Linked DNA regions of Rattus norvegicus. The protein of the gene in region 2 interacts with the protein of the main gene of each other region in a biochemical or structural test. Links are inferred from orthologs where the notes say so. Each region holds a gene or a part of one and is shown on either strand. Other genes may lie near its edges.

Region 1 (6,184 bases), on a different chromosome or scaffold from region 2:
CTGGACTTGTGCGTAAACACTCTTTGTGTTTACATACGATTTGAGTATGGGGTATCATTCTTGGGTGAATCATGGACCTTTATACTGTTTAGGTCCACAGTCTACCTCAAAGGTCCCTGGATCTTATCTTCTCTTTCATTTTCTTCTATTTTTTTTCTTTTGAGAAAAGACCTTATAATAGCCCTTGAACGTGTTATATCCTGAAGACACCTCCCCCTTATCCTGGTATATTGCTCCTGCTGACCTTTAGTTATTTATCCTACCTCAGACCCTCAGTGGTCCCTCGAGGGAGGGAGGATGGGGCTTCATGAGCCCCGTGATGAAATACCGATAAGCCCAATCAGATGGTTTTGTACAGGTACCTGTAACTGCAGTGAGTTCGTGAGCATCATTTTGCATCACACCTGTTACGTGACTAAACACACATCCACTCACCCCAGATAGGGAGCTCAAGACAGACCAAAGTATGGATACCACCAAAGTCCAACTTGGTGAACCAAAGAGTTTTATTATAGTTTCTCGCGGAAGCAGAAATGACTCGAAGACAACTGCGTCACCTAGGCCCACCCCAGCATAGGTGACAAGCTCACAAACGCTGGGAAACCTGGAGCACAGTGCTTCAAGCAAGTGTGAGAAGTGCTTGTCTTAAATAAAACAAACCAGGTTCACACACACACACACACACACACACACACGTTGGGGGATAAGGAGGCAATCCTGGGATATAGTATTTGCTTACTAAATATATTAATTTGCATAGCAATGATTACTAGAGGGCTAGGGATACCTCTCCATTGGTAGTGTTTGTCCGCCATGCTTGAAATCCTCGCTTCAATCATGAGTGTGACATAAATCCAGTGTAAAGTTGTATGCTGTACTCTCAACACTGAGGAGGTAGAGGAGGGAGAACAGGAGATTTAAGGTCATTCTCAGCTACATAGGGACTTCGACCTGTGATGTATTTTATAAAACCAAGGATATGTTTTACAGAGCACAGTATGGTGTGGTGGGAGGGAATACCTCAGTGGACCGATGCTGAAGCATATACCCTTCACACCAGATACCAGCCATGATGGGTTTAGTACAGAATAGTTTATTTGGGGGCATGGGAAAGGGAGTTGAGAAAGGAATAGAGACAGAGAAAGAGAGGGGACAGAGGACAGAGAGAAGGGGGAAGGGAGGGGAAGGGAAAGGAGAGGAGGAGAGAAGCAGTTCTTTTTTTATAGCAAACTGGCCTATCTGGCTGTTGCTAGGTAACTGTTGGGCAGAGCATAGAAGGAATGCCAACAACCTGTGCTACAAGAGATCCTGGTCAACAAATAAATAAATCCTCATTGATGTTACTGAAATTTAATGTGGAAAAAGATTTCACTGAAGTTATTTAGCCTTAATAAGGTGTCTGAGGTAGAAGGATGGAGTGCTGCATTATGGATTCTTGTTAAATAGAATAGATTCTACAAAACTGTATTTTTGAAGTAATCTTAAACAGGAGCGAAATTAAGCATGTGGCACATTTTCTTTTGTCCCTGGGGCAGTAGCTATTGGGGCGATTGGTATGTTAATCTATTTGCTTAGGCTATAACTTCATGCTATAAACCTCAAAATCCATCCCAGGCAGCGGTCGGAACAATCATACTAAAGACTGTCTCTGCTTCAAAGCTTTCGCGAACTCTTAAGATAGTACTGGCACTTCTGTAGATGAGGATGAGAAACAGTAAGTAGGGGCTGGAGAGATGGCTCAGCGGTTAAGAGCACTGACTGCTCTTCCAGAGATCCTGTTCAAATCCCAGCAACCACATGGTGGCTCATTCATAACCGTCTGTAATGGGATCAGATGCCCTCTTCTGGTGTGTCTGAAGACAGCTACAGTGTACTTATATATACTAAATAAATAAATCTATTTTTAAAAAGAGAAACAATAAATAGGACAGCAAAACTGTTATGCGTGCTCCAGAAACGTGGCGGCCCCACAGTCATTTTCCTAAGGTCCAACGGAGTTGCCTTGGACAGCACACAAGTGGGCATTGCCGGCCAAGCCTACCTAAAGCAGGTGGCAGCAAAGAGGCGAGTGCGCAGGCGCAGAGCTTGACCTCACGAGGGGTGGGCGGTGCTGCCAGCTACAGCCTCGCTCTGGCCCCACCCCTCGCCGAACTTGGGATCGCGGGATCGCCCAGGAAACGCATTCTACGGGAACCCGCAGCACCAATGGGAAGAGAGCGAGTGCCATGAACTGACCAATGAGGAGGGAGCGGCCCGGGGTTTAAACCCAGGCCCGGCAGACTCCTCCCGGCGTGCTGTGGGGGAACGGCTGTTAGTGTTTAGGTGTGGGCAGCCAGAGGTTAGGGTGTCTTCTCAGATCGGCGAACCTCTGCTTCAGGAGGAGCCATGGCGCTCAGGGTCACTAGGGTGAGTCGGGCCGGGCGCTGCGGTCCTCGCTGTGGGAGAAGGCCGCGGCGGCCAGGAGGGGAAGGGGATGCCCGGAAGGTTCCGGCCAATGGAGGAGCTAAGGACCCTCCCTGGAGGGTGAAAAAAGACTTCGGGACATATCTGGGCTGAAGGACTTAGAGGGAGTAGGGTGGTGTGCTTTTAATGATGAAGGCCCAGAGTGAATCTTCCCAGAGTCTGTCTGCCCAGAGTCTTCCCAGAGAGCTGTCTACAAGGAGGCTTTCATGATTACCTTTCCGATGTAAATTTCACCGTGTTTAGGATTGCTTGGGACTTAAAGGGAAATTGGATAATAGGTGAACGTTTTGGGTGGAAACCTGCTTGTCAGGGCTGGAGGATAGATCCTAGAGCCCTTGCTTTCCATAGTGGGGTCCCGCCTTAATTAACCCATGACTTCCTGGAGCCGCCATGGATCCTCTCTCAAGTGGTTCTTACTTCTTTCAGAACACGAAAATTAACACAGAAAATAAGGCCAAGGTCAGCATGGCAGGCGCCAAGCGTGTGCCTGTGGCAGTTGCTGCCTCCAAACCCCTGCTGAGATCGAGAACTGCTCTTGGAGACATTGGTAATAAAGTCAGCGAACAGTCAAGAATACCCCTCAAAAAGGTAACTTATCTTCCTGGTCCAGTTATCCTGAAAAAGCCCATCTTCTAGGTGTCACCGTTGGAAAAACATTCTGTTCTTTCACTTTCATCCACAGGAAACAAAAAAGTTAGGTTCTGGAACAGTTACTGTTAAAGCCCTACCAAAACCTGTGGACAAGGTGCCAGTGTGCGAACCAGAGGTGGAACTGGATGAGCCTGAGCCTGAACCTGTTATGGAAGTGAAACACTCTCCTGAGCCTATTTTGGTAAACTTAGCATTTTAAAAAGTGTATTCCTCCTCTCTGACTTCATTTCATGTTGATGCACACGACGGCATTTAAATATATTGTTTATTGAGTGGTTAGTGCATTTTACGTGCACTAACAGCTCTAGGGTAAGTATTAGCACTCTGCTTCAGATGGTGGCAGATAAATATGGTAGGGCTCTTGTTTTATGTAGACAGTCTCACTGTGTGCTCCTGGCTGGCCTGGAACATAGAGGTTTGCCTGCCCCTCGAGGCCTGGGATCCAGAGGTGGCATAATCATTTTCTTTTTTGTGTAACTGTATAGCTTCCGCTGTCCTTGAGTTTGAGATTCCCACCTCTCCAATGCTGGGGTGATATATTCAGGCTAGATCTTTTAATTGGTTTCTTTAAAAGGAAAAAAAAATCTCAGACAGAAATAAGATTAATTAAATAGGGTCCTTGGTAACACATCTTCCAATCCCAGCATTCTGGCCTAGAGGCAGGTGGGCCTCTAAGTTCAAGGCGGGCTGTGTATATAGTAAGATCCAGTCCAGACAGAGCTGCATCTAGTGAAACCGTTTAAAAAAAAAAAATAGGGCTGGAGAGATGGCTCAGAGGTTAAGAGCACTGACTGCTCTTCCAAAGGTCCTGAGTTCAAATCCCAGCAACCACATGGTGGCTCACAACCATCTGTAATGGGATCTGATGCCCTCTTCTGGTGTGTCTGAAGACAGCTACAGTGTACTTATATATAATAAATAAATAAATCTTTAAAAAAAAAAAAGATGATGGATTAATGTTGATGGGTTAACATTTAAGCCCCAAATGGAAGTTTACCTGAGTTCGTAGCCTGTTAGATTGTGTTTAGCATAGGGATGCTCTGGGTTCAGTCCTTGAGTACTAAAACCACACACACACACCGCCAGATTTTACTACTAGGTGTGATGGTGCATGTTTGTGATTTTAGTACTTCCTCTAAGGCAGGAGGGTTGAATGCTCAAGGCTAGCTAGGGCTCTCTGGGTTTGTAATCAAGAACTTGTATTCACCTGAATAATTGATTAATTGATAATTGAAGGCTTGGCATTCTTTTGAATTGACCTCACATGATGCTGATGAATAAATGGCTTTATTATCACTTACCTGCTCGTTTCCTTTGACTTGCCTTACATGTTAGTATCTATAGAGTCCTGTGTGTGCCCAATCGTATGTATCTGAAGAGAGACTCCTTTGGAGCTGGAGTAACAAGCATTTGTGAGCCACCCAGTGTGGATGCTAGGATCTGAATTCTGGTCCTCATGGAGTATCAAGGGCTCTTTAACTGCTGAGACAGTTCTCCAGCTCCCATGCTCTCTTGTATTTTGTGTGAGAATACACAGAGAAGTCAGAGACAGCTTTTTTTTTTTCCCCCTTCGGAGCTGGGGACCGAACCCAGGGCCTTGCGCTTCCTAGGCAAGCACTCTACCACTGAGCTAAATCCCCAACCCCTTAGAAGACAGCTTTTGAGTCAGTTCTTCCACCATGTGGATCTCCTGGGGGTTGAACTCAGTTGTTAGGCTTAGCAACAGGTACCTTTACCCGTCTTGCCAGCCCACTTCTTCGTACTTTAAACTACCTGAATCTAAATTGGGGCTTATTTTTTTATGAGACCAGATCTTGCTGGCTTGCAGTTTGCTATGGAGACCAGGCTGGCTTCAACTCAGAGACCTGCCTTCCAGGTGCTGGGATCAAAGCTTATATTAACCATGCCTGGCTCTGATTGTTAGAACTGTTTTCTGATTGTTAGAATTGTTTGTTTTTTTTAAAGATTTATGTATGTGAGTACACTGCAGCTGTCTTCAAACACACCAGAAGAGGACATTGAATCCCGTTACAGACGGTTGTGAGCCACCATGTGGTTGCTGGGAATTGAACTCAGGACCTCTGGAAGAGCAATCAGTGCTCTTAACCTCTGAGGCATCTCTCCAGCCTGCCATTTTTTGTTTGTTTGTTTTGTTTTGTTTTGTTTTGTTCTATGGTTTGTTTTTTTCTTCATGAGTGAGATATCAGTTTGCAATGAGTGCAGGGCCCAGGGAGATCTGAAGAGGTCGTCAGATATCCTGGAACTAAGGTTGAGTCACCTGGTTTTTTAATAGAAAACCAGCCCTTGGCAAAAGCAGCAAATGTTCTTTATAGCTAAAACCATCACTCCAGCCCAGTATGAATCATTTCCCAAAAAGAAATTGGGGGAAAGAATCTGAAATACCTTTCGTTTAATAAAATGAATTACATTTATTTAGAATGACTTACTGAATTGGGGATGATGACTTTACGCTCCCATGATGTAGCATGTTTCATGAAGTCTCTTTTCTTCAAGGTTGATACTCCCTCTCCAAGCCCAATGGAAACATCTGGATGTGCACCTGCCGAAGAATATCTGTGTCAGGCTTTCTCCGATGTGATTCTTGCAGTGAGTGATGTAGATGCAGACGATGGTGGTGATCCAAACCTCTGTAGTGAATATGTGAAAGATATCTATGCTTACCTCAGACAACTGGAGGTCAGTATTGTCATTAGCGTCTGCCTTTACTAACTGCAGCTACCCTAAGCCCTTACTCTTGCTATTTAAGATCCTCCTGGATCAGTATTCCTGGTGCTGGAATTAAAGGGAGATGCTGCACTATACCTGGTTTATCCCTTTATGTTATTTACTAACTAATTTAAAGGCTAGCCTGGAACTCACAGAGATCCTTCTGCCTCACTGGTGCTGGGATTAAAGTTCTGTGACATTCAATTCAGCTGTCAAAGAAATTTTTACTAACAGCGCACCTGACAATTTTTGACAATGAATACTATTTGTTACACTCAGAGCACTGTTGTTAGTTTTGAAACACTAAAAATAAAGTCACTAACCCCGTGAAGTGGACTTGCCA
Region 2 (6,166 bases):
GAGATTCACGGGGCTCAAATCCAGTACATAGCTGAGAAGGATGGCTTTGAAGTTATGATCTTCCTGCCCATGTGTAACCCCTATGTGCCTATTACACAGAGGCACCACCATGACTGGTTTATACAGTGCTGAGGATGGTACCCAGGGCCTCATGCATGCACTTGACAAACTGAGCCACATCCCCAATCTCTGTTTTGCCAAGGCTAGGCCAACAGGAGTGAGAGGTGCCTTTGTTTTCATGTAGCCAAGCAACACAGACACGGCAGGCCATAGGCAGACAGGGAAACTGATCTAACGTTTGTCTATTTTCTTTTTGATCCTAAAATTATGTACCGGGGACAGGATTCTCTGATGAAGGTGCTGATGGCTGTGCTATGGCTATGGCATTAAAAGTCTCTGTCTCTGGGGCAGGAGAGCTTGAGTTCTGGTCTTTGCTTTAGCATTGACTTGCTACATGATATCAAGTTGAAGGTAAATAACAGATTTGAGAGACTACTAAAGCATCTCTTCCAGCTCAGCATGAAAAACAAAACAAAACTGACTGGAGAGGGCTGGAGAGATGACTCTGTTTGAGAGCACTGGCTGCCCTTCTAAAGGAACCAGGTTCAAATCCTAGAACCCACATGATAGCTTATAGCTGTCTGTAATTCCAGTTCTAGGAGATCTGATACCCTCACATAGACATACATGGAGGGGGGGAACACCAATGTAAATAAAACTTTAAAAATAAAAAATGTAAAATAAAAATAACGAAACAAAAAACCTGACGGGCGTGGTGGTACATATCATACTCCCGACATTTAGGATGCTGATGCGAGAGGATCCTAAGGTTAAAGCCAGTCTGGGCTGCTTAGGAAGAACTTGTCTCAGAAAACAAATACACACAAAGTCGTAGTGGCACATGCCTTTAATGTTAGTTAGCTCTTGGGAGGTAGCAGTAGTTGGAGCTCTGCGAGTTCGAGGCCAGACTGGTCTACATAGTGAGTTCTGAGAGAGACCTCAAACAAACAAACAAACAAACAAACAATAACCAGACAAACAAGGGGCCAGGGAGGTGGCTTGGGAGTTAAGATGACTTGCTCTTCTTCCAGGGGTTCAGAGTTCAGTTCCCACGCTGAGCACTGAAATTGCCTGTAATTCCTATTCCAGGGGATGCTAATCCATTGGCTTCCTCCCTGGCTCACTAACCTCCTGAGAACTGAAGTTAAGAGAACAGATTTTAGTGGAGCTACCGGGTAGTGGGTCCCTGTAGCTCCATCCCAGAAGTGAGGAGACTGAGACAATAGTGAGTTCAAAGCCACACTGGACTACATAGCAAGACTGTATCTCAAAAGGGAGGGGGACAGGTGTTAGAAAATTAGATGATTAGTCTGGTCTGGTGCCCCAAATCCTAGCATTTGAGAGGCTGAAACAAGAGGATGGCTGAGGCTACTTGGGCTGGAAAACAAACAAAAAAGGCTACCAAAGAAAACCGCCGGAGAGATAGCTCAGTCAGTAAAGGCGAAAACGGCATCTGTGGCACAAGCGTTTGCGAGTATATGCCTCCCCTCGCGCGACACACACACACACACACACACACACACACACACACACACACACACACACGTTAAAATGTCATTTAAAATCCTTAAGACAATGTAAATCAAACCAAACAAACTCATCTAACCAAACAAAATAAATACAAACAAAACAGAAACCTAGATGAAGAGTAAAGTCTTTTGTAACTGCAAGTCTCAGTGGGCCAGAGCACAGCTAGGCTAGGATTCGAGCGACCGAGGAATAAGGAAGCAAGGAAGTCTCCTAAGCCCGGCCCATGTCACCAATTTACAGACGGGTGGAGGAAGTTGAGGGCAGTGCGGGCTCCTTGGTTGCCACCTGCAGGTGCGTCCCCAGCCAATCAGCGGCGCCGGGGGCGGTGCCTGCGGGCTCACCTGGCGGCCGCAGCCTCTGCTTGGCTCACTGGTGTGGGAGCCGCGGCGCACTACTGAGTTCTCAAGAACTTCTGCTAGACTTCAGCCCGGCCTAACCCGGCCCTGCCCGACCGCACCCGAGCTCAGTGTTTGCTCGGCGTTTGCCCGGCCAGCCATGGGAGCCCGGTGCCGCAGCTTCTCCGCGCTCCTGCTCCTGCTGCAGGTATGTGGAGGGTCCCACGACCCGCTTCGCTTTTTCGCTTTTTTTTTTTTTTTTTTTTTGCCTTCTGTGGTTCCACTTCCCTTCTTCCAAGAAAGTTGGGCTCCAGAGGGCCAGATCGCCCTGGAGGCTACGCTGTGCAGGGAGGGAGGTCCAGGAGAGCGCAGAGGGGCCGCCTCTCGCTTAGGTTCCCAGGTGGGGGCGCGCCACGCTGCCGTCTCCCGGGACCCCGAGTTGAGCAGGGTCCCTGTTTGAGACGGACGGAGGAGGCGTGTATTAGGATGGGGGCCTGCCTGTAGAAGGTGGGGGACAGAAGGAGCGCGGACGACCCGAGATAAGGAAAGGGATTTTAGTACCACAAAAAGCACCTGCCATGTGAGGGAGGGACCGTAGATTGGAGATGGGCTCTCTAAGGTAAGAGGGAAGTCCGAGGCGTTGGTTGAGACCGTTCGCGGTCTAAGAAAGTGGTGTCCGGAAAGAGTAAAGGCGTCTCCAGTGAGATGCAAATGGAGCTAGGAGAGAAAGGTAGACCCGGTTGCCAGGTGGTGGCCCCAGATGCCCCCTCCCCCAAAGGCTCTTGGAGCTGAGCTTGGAGGCTGGTTTCGGGTTGAGAGGGTTGCGTCCCGGTCTGCCCCGAGGGGGTCCTCCCACAAATCCCGACCGCCCAGGCGAGGGAAGGGTTACTCTTGGTTTCGGTGTGGGCTGTTGGGAACCCCCTCAAGTCACCAGTTTGTCTACCTTCTCGCCACCCCAGGTCTCCTCGTGGCTTTGTCAGCAGCCGGAGTCGGAGTCTGACTCCTGCCGTCCCGGCTTCAGTTCCGAGGTCTACACCTTCCTGGTGCCGGAGAGGCACCTGGAGAGAGGCCACATCCTGGGCAGAGGTAAGGGAACTCCACTGCGTTAATCGGCCGAGTGGGGTCGGATAGGGAAGGCGCCAAGAAATTGTGCTACTTTGTCGGTAGGATGGAATGGGCAGAACTCTCCCTTGGGATTTAGGCAGATTTGGGAGTCTATTTATTGATTGTGGTTGATCAAGGCAGATATGTCTGTCTCTGCTATTTATACAGGGCAGAAACGGGCCAAGGGTATTTAGAGGTCATCGGTATTTCTCCAACCGATTACTGGAGCCAGTCTGTCATTCCAGACCGCCAAACCTGCTGGGTAGGGCCAGTTGAACTGTATATCCATTTAATGATGAGCAATTGGAGGCTCAAAGAGTGACTTCACGGGGTCAACAGGGCAGGCATTTGAACCGGGATTTGACTCCCACTATTTAGGTATGGCCACTGAGGAACTGACTCATAACTCATGAACATGACTTGTGGTTTTTGTTCATAAAGATAAAAATACTTGATACAGGTATTGCTTTTCCAAGGAATACTTTATTTATTTATTTATTTATTTTTTACTTTCTTTAAGAAAAAAGGTAGCTCTGGTTCATATATTCAAGGACTCAATATATATTCAGGTCTTACTGTGATAATCTAGAATTTTCTTTAACTGTTGGGCATGGCTGGGAGCAAGGCAAGAGGACCAGGTGTTTTGTTGTTGTTGTTTGTTTTTTAACTGGTTTCCCTAATTTCCAAATGCTTCTTTGGCACCAAAATGGCTTCTCTCATGAGGAGTTTAGTTGATCCCAAAAGTATGATAAACAAAAGGGAATAATTTTAGAAGGAGAACTCACCCAATCCCTTTCTGGGAATACTTTGACCACGTTTGTTCTTCCAGCCATAAGCCACCTGAACAATCTACAGCAACCGTGATGGCGCCTAAAACTTTGTTGTGAGCCTTGCGAGTTGGGTCCAGGTTTGGTGGTGCATTTTACAGAGAAACAGCAGCTCCGTTGGGATTGGCTAGTCTTACTTGCTTTTCTGAGACCTGACTGGTTTGGTGGAACTTTTTTTTTTTTTTTAAGATTTATTTATTTATTTCATGTATGTGAGTACACTGTAGCTGCCTTCAGACACACCAGAAGAGGGCGTTAGATCTCATTACAGATGGTCGTGAGCCACCATGTGGTTGCTGGGAATTGAACTCAGGACCTCTGGAAGAGCAGCCAGTGCTTCTCACCACTGAGCCATCTCTCCAACCCATTGGTGGAACTTTCTAAGGGTCCAGAAAGGCTGCAGCCCCGTGGGCCTGAGGTTGGAGTGGTTAGGGATCCTTCAGCCAGTCTCCACTTGATTCCTGCCCAAGGAATAATTTGAGCCTCTGGTAGGTTGCTGAGAGCATTTCAGGATGCCCTTCAGTGGCACTTTGGGATGGACTGGTGAGGGATGAGTGGCCTAGGATGTTTCCGAGGGTGGCAGTGAGTGTCTGAGAATAAGTAGATGTCACTCAGTGTGGAGCAGAGCAGGCTTAGACATGGGAGCGCTTATATATCAGGGATCCCAATGCAGTGCCTCAGTTAGGACCGCCTATGTCAGCAGCGCTGAGGATGAGACCTGTAATGGCCTGTTACAGGTTAGCCAGGAACTTTACCACCTGTGTGTTGGTCGGGTTTTTTGTTTGTTTGTTTGTTTGTTTGTTGAGACAGGATCTCCCTATGTGATTCTCCTGCCTCAGACTGTGCTGGGATTACATGCTCACTTTGGCACTAACCTGGTTTTTATTTTGCACCTCTAAGGGCTAGTGAATAGTCACTAACACCACTGGTTATCGGTGACAAGATCACTTAAAACTGATAGTACCACCTGTTCACTTTGGTCCCGTGAGGCGAGTGAGTCATTTACCTAAAGTAAAAATGAGAATGTCTGGAGGGTGGACACCATTCCAGTCCTCAAGGAACTCACGAGCCTGACTGGCTTCTGTATTGCCTGAAGCATCTACTGCAGGTCCTCCTCTTCTTGGTTTCCTTTTCTCCCGAAGAGAAGACAAAAATAAGTGAAAATGTGTGCTGCTGCTTGGTGTGGTGGTTCACACCTGTGACCAGCATTCCGGAAGTGAAGTGTGTGAGCTGCCTCCCTGGTGGTTCACACCTGTGACCAGCTCTTGGGGGAGGGGGGGAAGCTCTGAGGCCAGAGGCTTGCTAAAAGCTGGACGTTTGAGGTCAGCCTGGTCTATGTAGTGATTTACCTTGACTACCGAGTGAGATGAGACCTTTCCTAAAAGAACAAGAAAGAAAAAGAAGAAGGAAGGAGAGAGATGGGAGAGGAGGGAGGGGGCGCGGGATATGTGTGTGCGTTTTCGGGGAAAACACAGTCCATTGTGAAAATTGAGGACAGAGGTCTTGAGGTAGGGGGAGCTGAGAGTGGCTGGCTCTGATGGAGATAGAGCTTGCCCTGTGGGAGTTAAAGAGCCTCCCCGCTGAGAGCATGCTCAGTGGGAGGTAGAGAGCCCCGCCACCACCGGTGGTTTAGGTGGGAGAAGCAGCTTCCACACAGCAGCCCACAAGCTTCCAAGCTTCCCCGGGCTGGTTCCAGTTCCCCTTAAGTCTGAGGCTCCACCACTACTCTCCAGGGGTCTAATCGCACCAGTGGAATGTGGAATTGCTCTAGATCAGAGGTATCTTTCCAGAAATCACACATTGTACCCCCAGAAACTGCTTTGTGTAAAAGAATTGCCTTCGTTTAGGAAGGTGGAGACACTCTTTGGACCTGGGGAAACAGAGGATTGTGGTATTGGGTCCACTATGCAGGCTCCTGAGAATCTGACACTGGTGGCTAAAAGGTCAAAAATAGGCTTTGATGTGGTTGGTTAGCATCATCCCGGTGTCCCAAGAGCTCACCTGTAGATTCTTTGGCTTCTAAAATGCAGAATCTTCAAAGCCAAAACCCAACCCCCTCCACTATCTAAGCATATTCTTTAGTTAGGTTGGTTTGTTTGTTTATTGTTTCTGTTGTTTGTTTTTGAGACAGGATCTCCCTATGTAGCCTTAGCTGGGTTGGAATTCACTGTTGTAGACCAGGCTGCCTCTGAACTCACGGAGATCCCTCTGCTTCTGCTTCCTGAGTGCTGTTCTGTTTCTATTTCTTGTTTTTGTTTTTGTTTTTTTGACACAGGGTCCCAGGTATCTCAGGCTGGCCTGCAACTCTCT
Region 3 (5,961 bases), on a different chromosome or scaffold from region 2:
CCCACAATGAAATACATGTAAACAGAAAAATAGAAAGAAATAAATAAAAAATCCAAACTACAGGTAACAGTGAAAGTGTCAAAATTACACAGGAATGTAACTAATTCATGGTGTACTGATTCCTGTCTCCATTTAAGCCTTCTCAGGCCCCACTAATTCCCATCAAGTACTGTAATTAAACAAGGCTTACTGAGCACCTCAGTTTGTAGCAGACACTACAATGGGTAATGAAGGAATAAGATAGTACCAACACCGAGCAGCTCCCAGTCTGCAGTGAAAGATATGATAATTTTATGATACATTTATTACACACAACTACCTCCTACAAGCTTCTCATTCAACCCAAAGAACTGAAAACTGTCTAGAAGACAAATAACAAGCAAACAAAGGTTGAAACATATCCCAGAAGTTAACAAGACATGGTCGTGCATGTCATTAGTCCCAGCACTTGGGAGGCAGAGGCAGGTGAGTTTCAGTTCTGTGAGTTCAAGGCCAGCCTAGTCTACAGAGTTGAACCCTGTCTCAAAATAAACAAACAAATAAGAAAGCAGGACTGCTGATGAGCTCAATGGCAGACACCTGCCTCACCTGTGTGAGACCCCAAGTTCAATGCCCAGCACTGCAAAAGGGGGAAAAAAAGAGACTAATGGGACAGCAGTCGTGTGTATTTATGATCCCTGCTTTTAGGACTAAGACATCATCTATGCCAGCATACTCAGCTCTCACTGGCTCTAAGGAAACTAGCCTTTTACATATACTATCCGAACTTGGTCCCTATAAGGAACAACTAAAACAGTCCTGCCCAGAGCCAGGCTTCATTTATTTTAGTCCCAGCTGTTATGTCCATTCTCTTTGGGTAATAGCAATGTAACCCTGGTTAAATTCATCGACTCTGTAGTCAATCAGACCAGGGTCAATCTCGACCTCCACCGTTTAAAGAATGAGTTGTTCAGCAAACCCCAGCTTCATTATCTCAAATTCATTTCTAAAAAAAAATGGTTAGAAATTAGGTAGTCTACAAAAAATGCTTAGTACACTGTAAAATAAGACAATGACAGGGAGGGGACGGGACGGGAAGACCCAGAAGGTACTAACAGAGGGCCGTCACCTACCACAATAGAAAGCAATAAATTATACTGAGCTAAATATTTTGCTATTGCAACTGATAGTGATCTAAGCTGAATTTATCAGCCTGCATCCAGTCTCATCTACCCCTAAGGAACAATTATTTGATAAACCTACGGCTGGCATGTGATTACAGGAAGCGTCCGTCTCCTTTCTAAGGTCTCAAAGAGTCCCAATTTTAGACCAGCTGAGACCATGTTGACCCCCCTGGCTGTACATACTCGACTCCTAGGAAAGGCACTAGAACTCTAATCAACCACACACACCTGAAACACAGACCCCACTACCTTACTCACATAACAAAGAAACTAACTGAATTCCATATAAAGCAAACAAGGAAAGAAAACCTGTACATTTCATACTCATCTATCATCATTTTCACCGCAAACCCCAAATAAGAAGCACAGAAAATAAGTAGCAAAATAAAAGATTTACTTATCTGTACCCTTTCAATTCCTGGAAGAACCAGGGAAGGTGAAGTAAAAGACAAAAATCTTCCATCTTACCACCTCAAAAGGCTCTGTACTATAGGCAGGCCAAACAATGCCTTAGTTTGTAAATTGTCCTGGACCCTAATGCTGCACAACACCGCTACACAAAGCCCAGTTTCAAAGCCGGACCCAGATCACCAGCAGTCATCCAGAACCTATTTTCAAACTGCCTTTGTACTCCTCCTTCAGACTCTCATCCCTCCCCCTAAAGGCTGAGTGAGAAACCGACACTCTGGCAGCAACAGACCGACCCTCCAAAGACACACTAAGAAATCTCCTTGGAAAAACATTTCAAAGGAAAATTGAAAAATTGGAAATCAGAACCATAGCCCAACAGACTGTACATAGTGACTTTTTCTTTCTTTTCAATTGCCTATTTTAATCCTGAGGTCCACACGTCCAATGTTTTTCTGTAATCCTTGCCTAAATTATATGGAAAGGAAAAGAGGAACAAAACTTGTTTCCTCCAGAAGCCACAACCGCACAATGACAAAACCATCCTGCAAGGAATGTCTTCCCTGTAGAAAAATATTCAAGGAAATGTTCTAGACTAAAAAGAATGGGGGCAGGGACTATGAAATCAGAAGATTAAAGATTCCTATCAGTTTAAAGGTAATGAGGAGCTTATACTTTAAGACCCATCTTGCTACAATTAGAGCAGTATCTATTCCAGCTCTAATTTCCATTCTGATTCCCATTTTAAAAGAAGAAAGTACCTGTGTTCCAGCTACTGATGAGTTGGCTATATAATTACCTAGGATCTGGACATTTCCAAGATGTACATACACAAAGCAAACCAAGCAACTCTTAAGGTCAAGTATAAAACATGAGGCAGTCACAGGCCTTTAGCTTTAACAGTGTTCTAATAAGTTAACTGAGCAAGCAAACAAAGACACCTCTAAAAGCATCTTTCCAGTGGCTTAAAAATAAAATTCCCTTTGTAAGGCGTTCTCAAATGTGTTTTGCAAACTCTAAGTTTTCATTAAGTGGTTTCTCTTCACCTGTCTATTCACAACCTACAAATCTTTCAGAGACCAAAGGGCTGGAAAAGACTTTCAGGTGTTCTGTGGTTTCACTCCGGTCAAGAGAAAGCATGATTAGAATTTCCTTATCCCTTTAAGGGCCAAACATTAGCATATCTGCAAGTTTAACATACACCTTCACAAATCTGTGGCATTAAAAGGACTTTTAGGACAAGAAAGAAAAGGGGGGAGAGAGAGAGAGAGAGAGAGAGAGAGAGAGAGAGAGAGAGAGAGAGAGAGAGAGAGAGAGAGAGAGAAAGAGAGGGAGGAAAAAAAGTAGTGGCAATTCAGTTAACAGTTAACATAGACCCATTTGTTTTCACAAGGCAAAGCAAAGAGTCTCCTAGGCAGGCGACAGCAGCTCCCACCCACCACCACACCTGGAAAAGTGAAAGAGGGATCCACCCAGGAACTGCAGAGTTGAAACCCTTCTGGGCCGTTCACGTTCAGAAGGAAAAAACAATACCATTGAAATTCGAAAGCTTCCTGCAACTTTCCACTGCCACAAATACAAAGGTGAGGGGGCTAAAAGTTCCGAAACATGGTAGGAGCCATCTGTACGACTAGCCTCCGACCAGGACAAATTCCTTTCCCAACCCACACACAACATGCCAAAAAAACAACTTTTTGAGCTCTGAATAAAAGAGTATGTTAGCTAAATCCAGAAAAAAATATAAAAGTACACACAAAAATGTAATTTACACAACTTCTATCCCTGGTTCTAACCAGCTTCCGGTATTAGACCTAGAAGTTTGTTTCTAGGTCTTGTACGTTTTACCTTTTCCTTAAATACCAAGAAACCTCCAAAGTATTAAAAGTAGAAAAAATAATTGATTAAAACTCACCGTCAGCATTAACAGGCTTCCTCGACCTTTTAAAAGTCCCTCCAGTTACCATCAAGAAAAAGATTCCACTTGCGTTATCCCTTTCCCAACTAGTTAAATACATATTTTAATAAAAGGAAAAAATTTAAAAGCACACACCTCAAATGTGGACTTCTAAAGCCAGTCCTTTTAAGAAACAAACCCAAAGCTTCACCAATGTGCTGAGAAAGACGAATCCAGCGAGGTTCGCCGCCTCTTCCTCTTCCTCGTTCCACGATCTTTCTGCCTTTCTCCTCTCCCTTCGTGTCTGTCGGCCTCTCTCGCTCTCTCGCTCTCTCTCCCTCCCTCTTGCTCGCCCTCGTTCTCTCTCTCCCTTTCCCTCTCTCTTTTTCCCCTCAGATCCAACACCTAAAATGGAAGTTGCACCCAGCCAAAGGCAAGGGAGCCTGGGTGGTGACAAACTGATCTGGCAGCCCTACCCTAGCTTTCCTAAGTGATGTCAGCCCCTGCGAGCTTCCAATAGGAACCAGGCATAAATCAGGGAGCTGACCTTATCCAATAGGAAACTTTATTATAGGAAATTAAAAAAAAAAAAGGCGAGAGAAAGACGAGGAAGTTTTATATATATATATTATATATATTTAAAGCGGAGACTATACAATCTCTGAGGAATTACTGCAGAGCTGGGGGGAGGGAGGGAGGTGCTAAATAACAAAGCTTTTTAGAACGGCACGCCTAAGCCTCAGTTCTCTTTGAGGAGGGTCTTGTTCCCTTTTCCTACCTATCTGGGTGGGAAAACAGAAAAGAGCTTACTTTACCTGCTGCGATTTGGTTTGCTGTTTTCTTTCTTTAAGCATTTCCCCAAAGGAAGCTAGGAAAGAAGGAGGGAGAAATCCCAGAAACAGGACTATGTGTTGACTGAGATGGTAGAAAATATCTAAGACAAACCCTCAATTTCATTGTTTTGATTTGATTGAATTAAAAGCTAATGAGGAAAATAAATGCTTAGACTTGTTAATACTTTGTTAGCCTCTCTGCTCTAAATTAAAAGAAAGCAGGATCCACTAAGCTGTTGAAGAACAGCACTATCTTCCCATCAAAACAATATGGGTCTGCCTGGGACAATAGGCAGAATCCAATAAACAAAGAGTTCAGAATAGTTAAGGATACCGTTAAAATAACTAAAAGAGTGCTATTTTTTAATCAACTCAAAATCACCTGGCTTTTTTTATTTGACCTAAATATTATAGGGGTTTTCCTCTGAATTCCTTTAAAATTTAGGAGGGGAAGGGGGTGTGTTTGTTGTTGGATTTTGTTTTTTCTCGGGTGGGGAGGTTGCTTTACTTTAAAGACAGGATCTCACACTACCCCAGGCTGGCCTCAAACTCAAAAGCCTTGCGCTTTTGACTTCTGAGTGATAGGGTTGAAGTTATATTACCACCCTGTAAAACTGGTATCAGTTATTTACTAATTACTAAATGAAGATGATGAATTGGAAGGTTTCTCCTTATGTATTTTAATTAGATTTATTTATGTGTGCATAGGTACACATGTACCACAGAAGTCATATTCAGGTCAGAGAACAATTTTCAGGAATCAGTTCTTTCCTTCCTCCATGTGTGTCCAGGGATTAAATTTTGCTCATTATTTTGGTGGTAAGTACCTTTACCTACTTCTAGTCCTATTTTTAAAATTATTTTTATTTTATTTTTTGAGACAGAGTCTCATTATGTATCCCTGACTGGCCTAGAACTCTAGATATCTAGACGAGGTAAGCTGGCTTTGAGCTCACAGAAATTCCCCTGTGTCTGCCCCCTGAGTGCTGGGACAATAGGTATGTGTTCCTATTGGCTACTGCAAAATGTATCTGCATAAAGCTTTCATAATCTATAATGGTGATATATTGGCTAAGAAGAGAGACTGCAGTCAAACTGCTGGCTTCCAGCTATACCTCTACAAGGACACTAGTTCAGATGTTTGCACCATTATAAGACCTTGGCCAAATTATATAGTCTCTGAACCTCAGTTTCCTTAACTAGAAAACGAAAATAACTCTTTCTCACTGGAGACACGCCTCAGTGGATAAATGCTCGCTTGCTGCTCAACCATGAGGACCTGGTTCAGATGACAGCACCAATGTAAAAAGCCAGACATGACTATACACATGTTTATGGATAGGAGGTAGGGATCCATGAGGGTCACTGCAGTTTGCTAGTTAACAGCCCAGATCCAGACTTAAAGTAAGTTAGACAGTGATAGGGCAGAACACTGGATGTCCTTCCCTACCCTGTACAACACACATCACATACCCACATCTGTTGTAAGAATAAAAGTACACATAAAAGTCACTTTTGCTTTTCAGTCAGACCTTGTTACAATTCCTACCAATGTGAAACTCCCTACATAGCCCAAAATGGCCTTGAACTTCCAGTAACCCTATGGCTTCAACCTACAAAGTACTGGGTTTACAGAGATGGGCTACATTATCTGACAATATAA

The links. The genes of interacting proteins can lie anywhere in the genome.
Region 1: of the proteins of Cdh1 (region 2) and Ccnb1, one has a biochemical effect on the other in vitro, tested with the Homo sapiens proteins (3 studies listed by BioGRID). The link is inferred for Rattus norvegicus from reciprocal best matches to the Homo sapiens genes CDH1 and CCNB1.
Region 3: the proteins of Cdh1 (region 2) and Ctnnd1 form a complex in vitro, tested with the Homo sapiens proteins (5 studies listed by BioGRID and IntAct, with this or other methods). The link is inferred for Rattus norvegicus from reciprocal best matches to the Homo sapiens genes CDH1 and CTNND1.

Annotation. Positions count from the first base shown.
Region 1 is NC_086020.1:33,651,326-33,657,509, reverse strand, and holds the start of Ccnb1 (G2/mitotic-specific cyclin-B1), read left to right. Parts: upstream 1-2,284; 5' UTR 2,285-2,385; coding exon 2,386-2,406; intron 2,407-2,889; coding exon 2,890-3,051; intron 3,052-3,145; coding exon 3,146-3,295; intron 3,296-5,628; coding exon 5,629-5,811; intron 5,812-6,184. UniProt on the Homo sapiens protein: Essential for the control of the cell cycle at the G2/M (mitosis) transition.
Region 2 is NC_086037.1:51,400,219-51,406,384, forward strand, and holds the start of Cdh1 (cadherin-1 precursor), read left to right. Parts: upstream 1-1,959; 5' UTR 1,960-2,085; coding exon 2,086-2,133; intron 2,134-2,436; exon of another isoform or gene 2,437-2,544; intron 2,545-2,884; coding exon 2,885-3,011; intron 3,012-6,166.
Region 3 is NC_086021.1:90,137,290-90,143,250, forward strand, and holds the start of Ctnnd1 (catenin delta-1), read right to left. Parts: upstream 3,901-5,961; 5' UTR 3,622-3,900; intron 1-3,621. UniProt on the Homo sapiens protein: Key regulator of cell-cell adhesion that associates with and regulates the cell adhesion properties of both C-, E- and N-cadherins, being critical for their surface stability.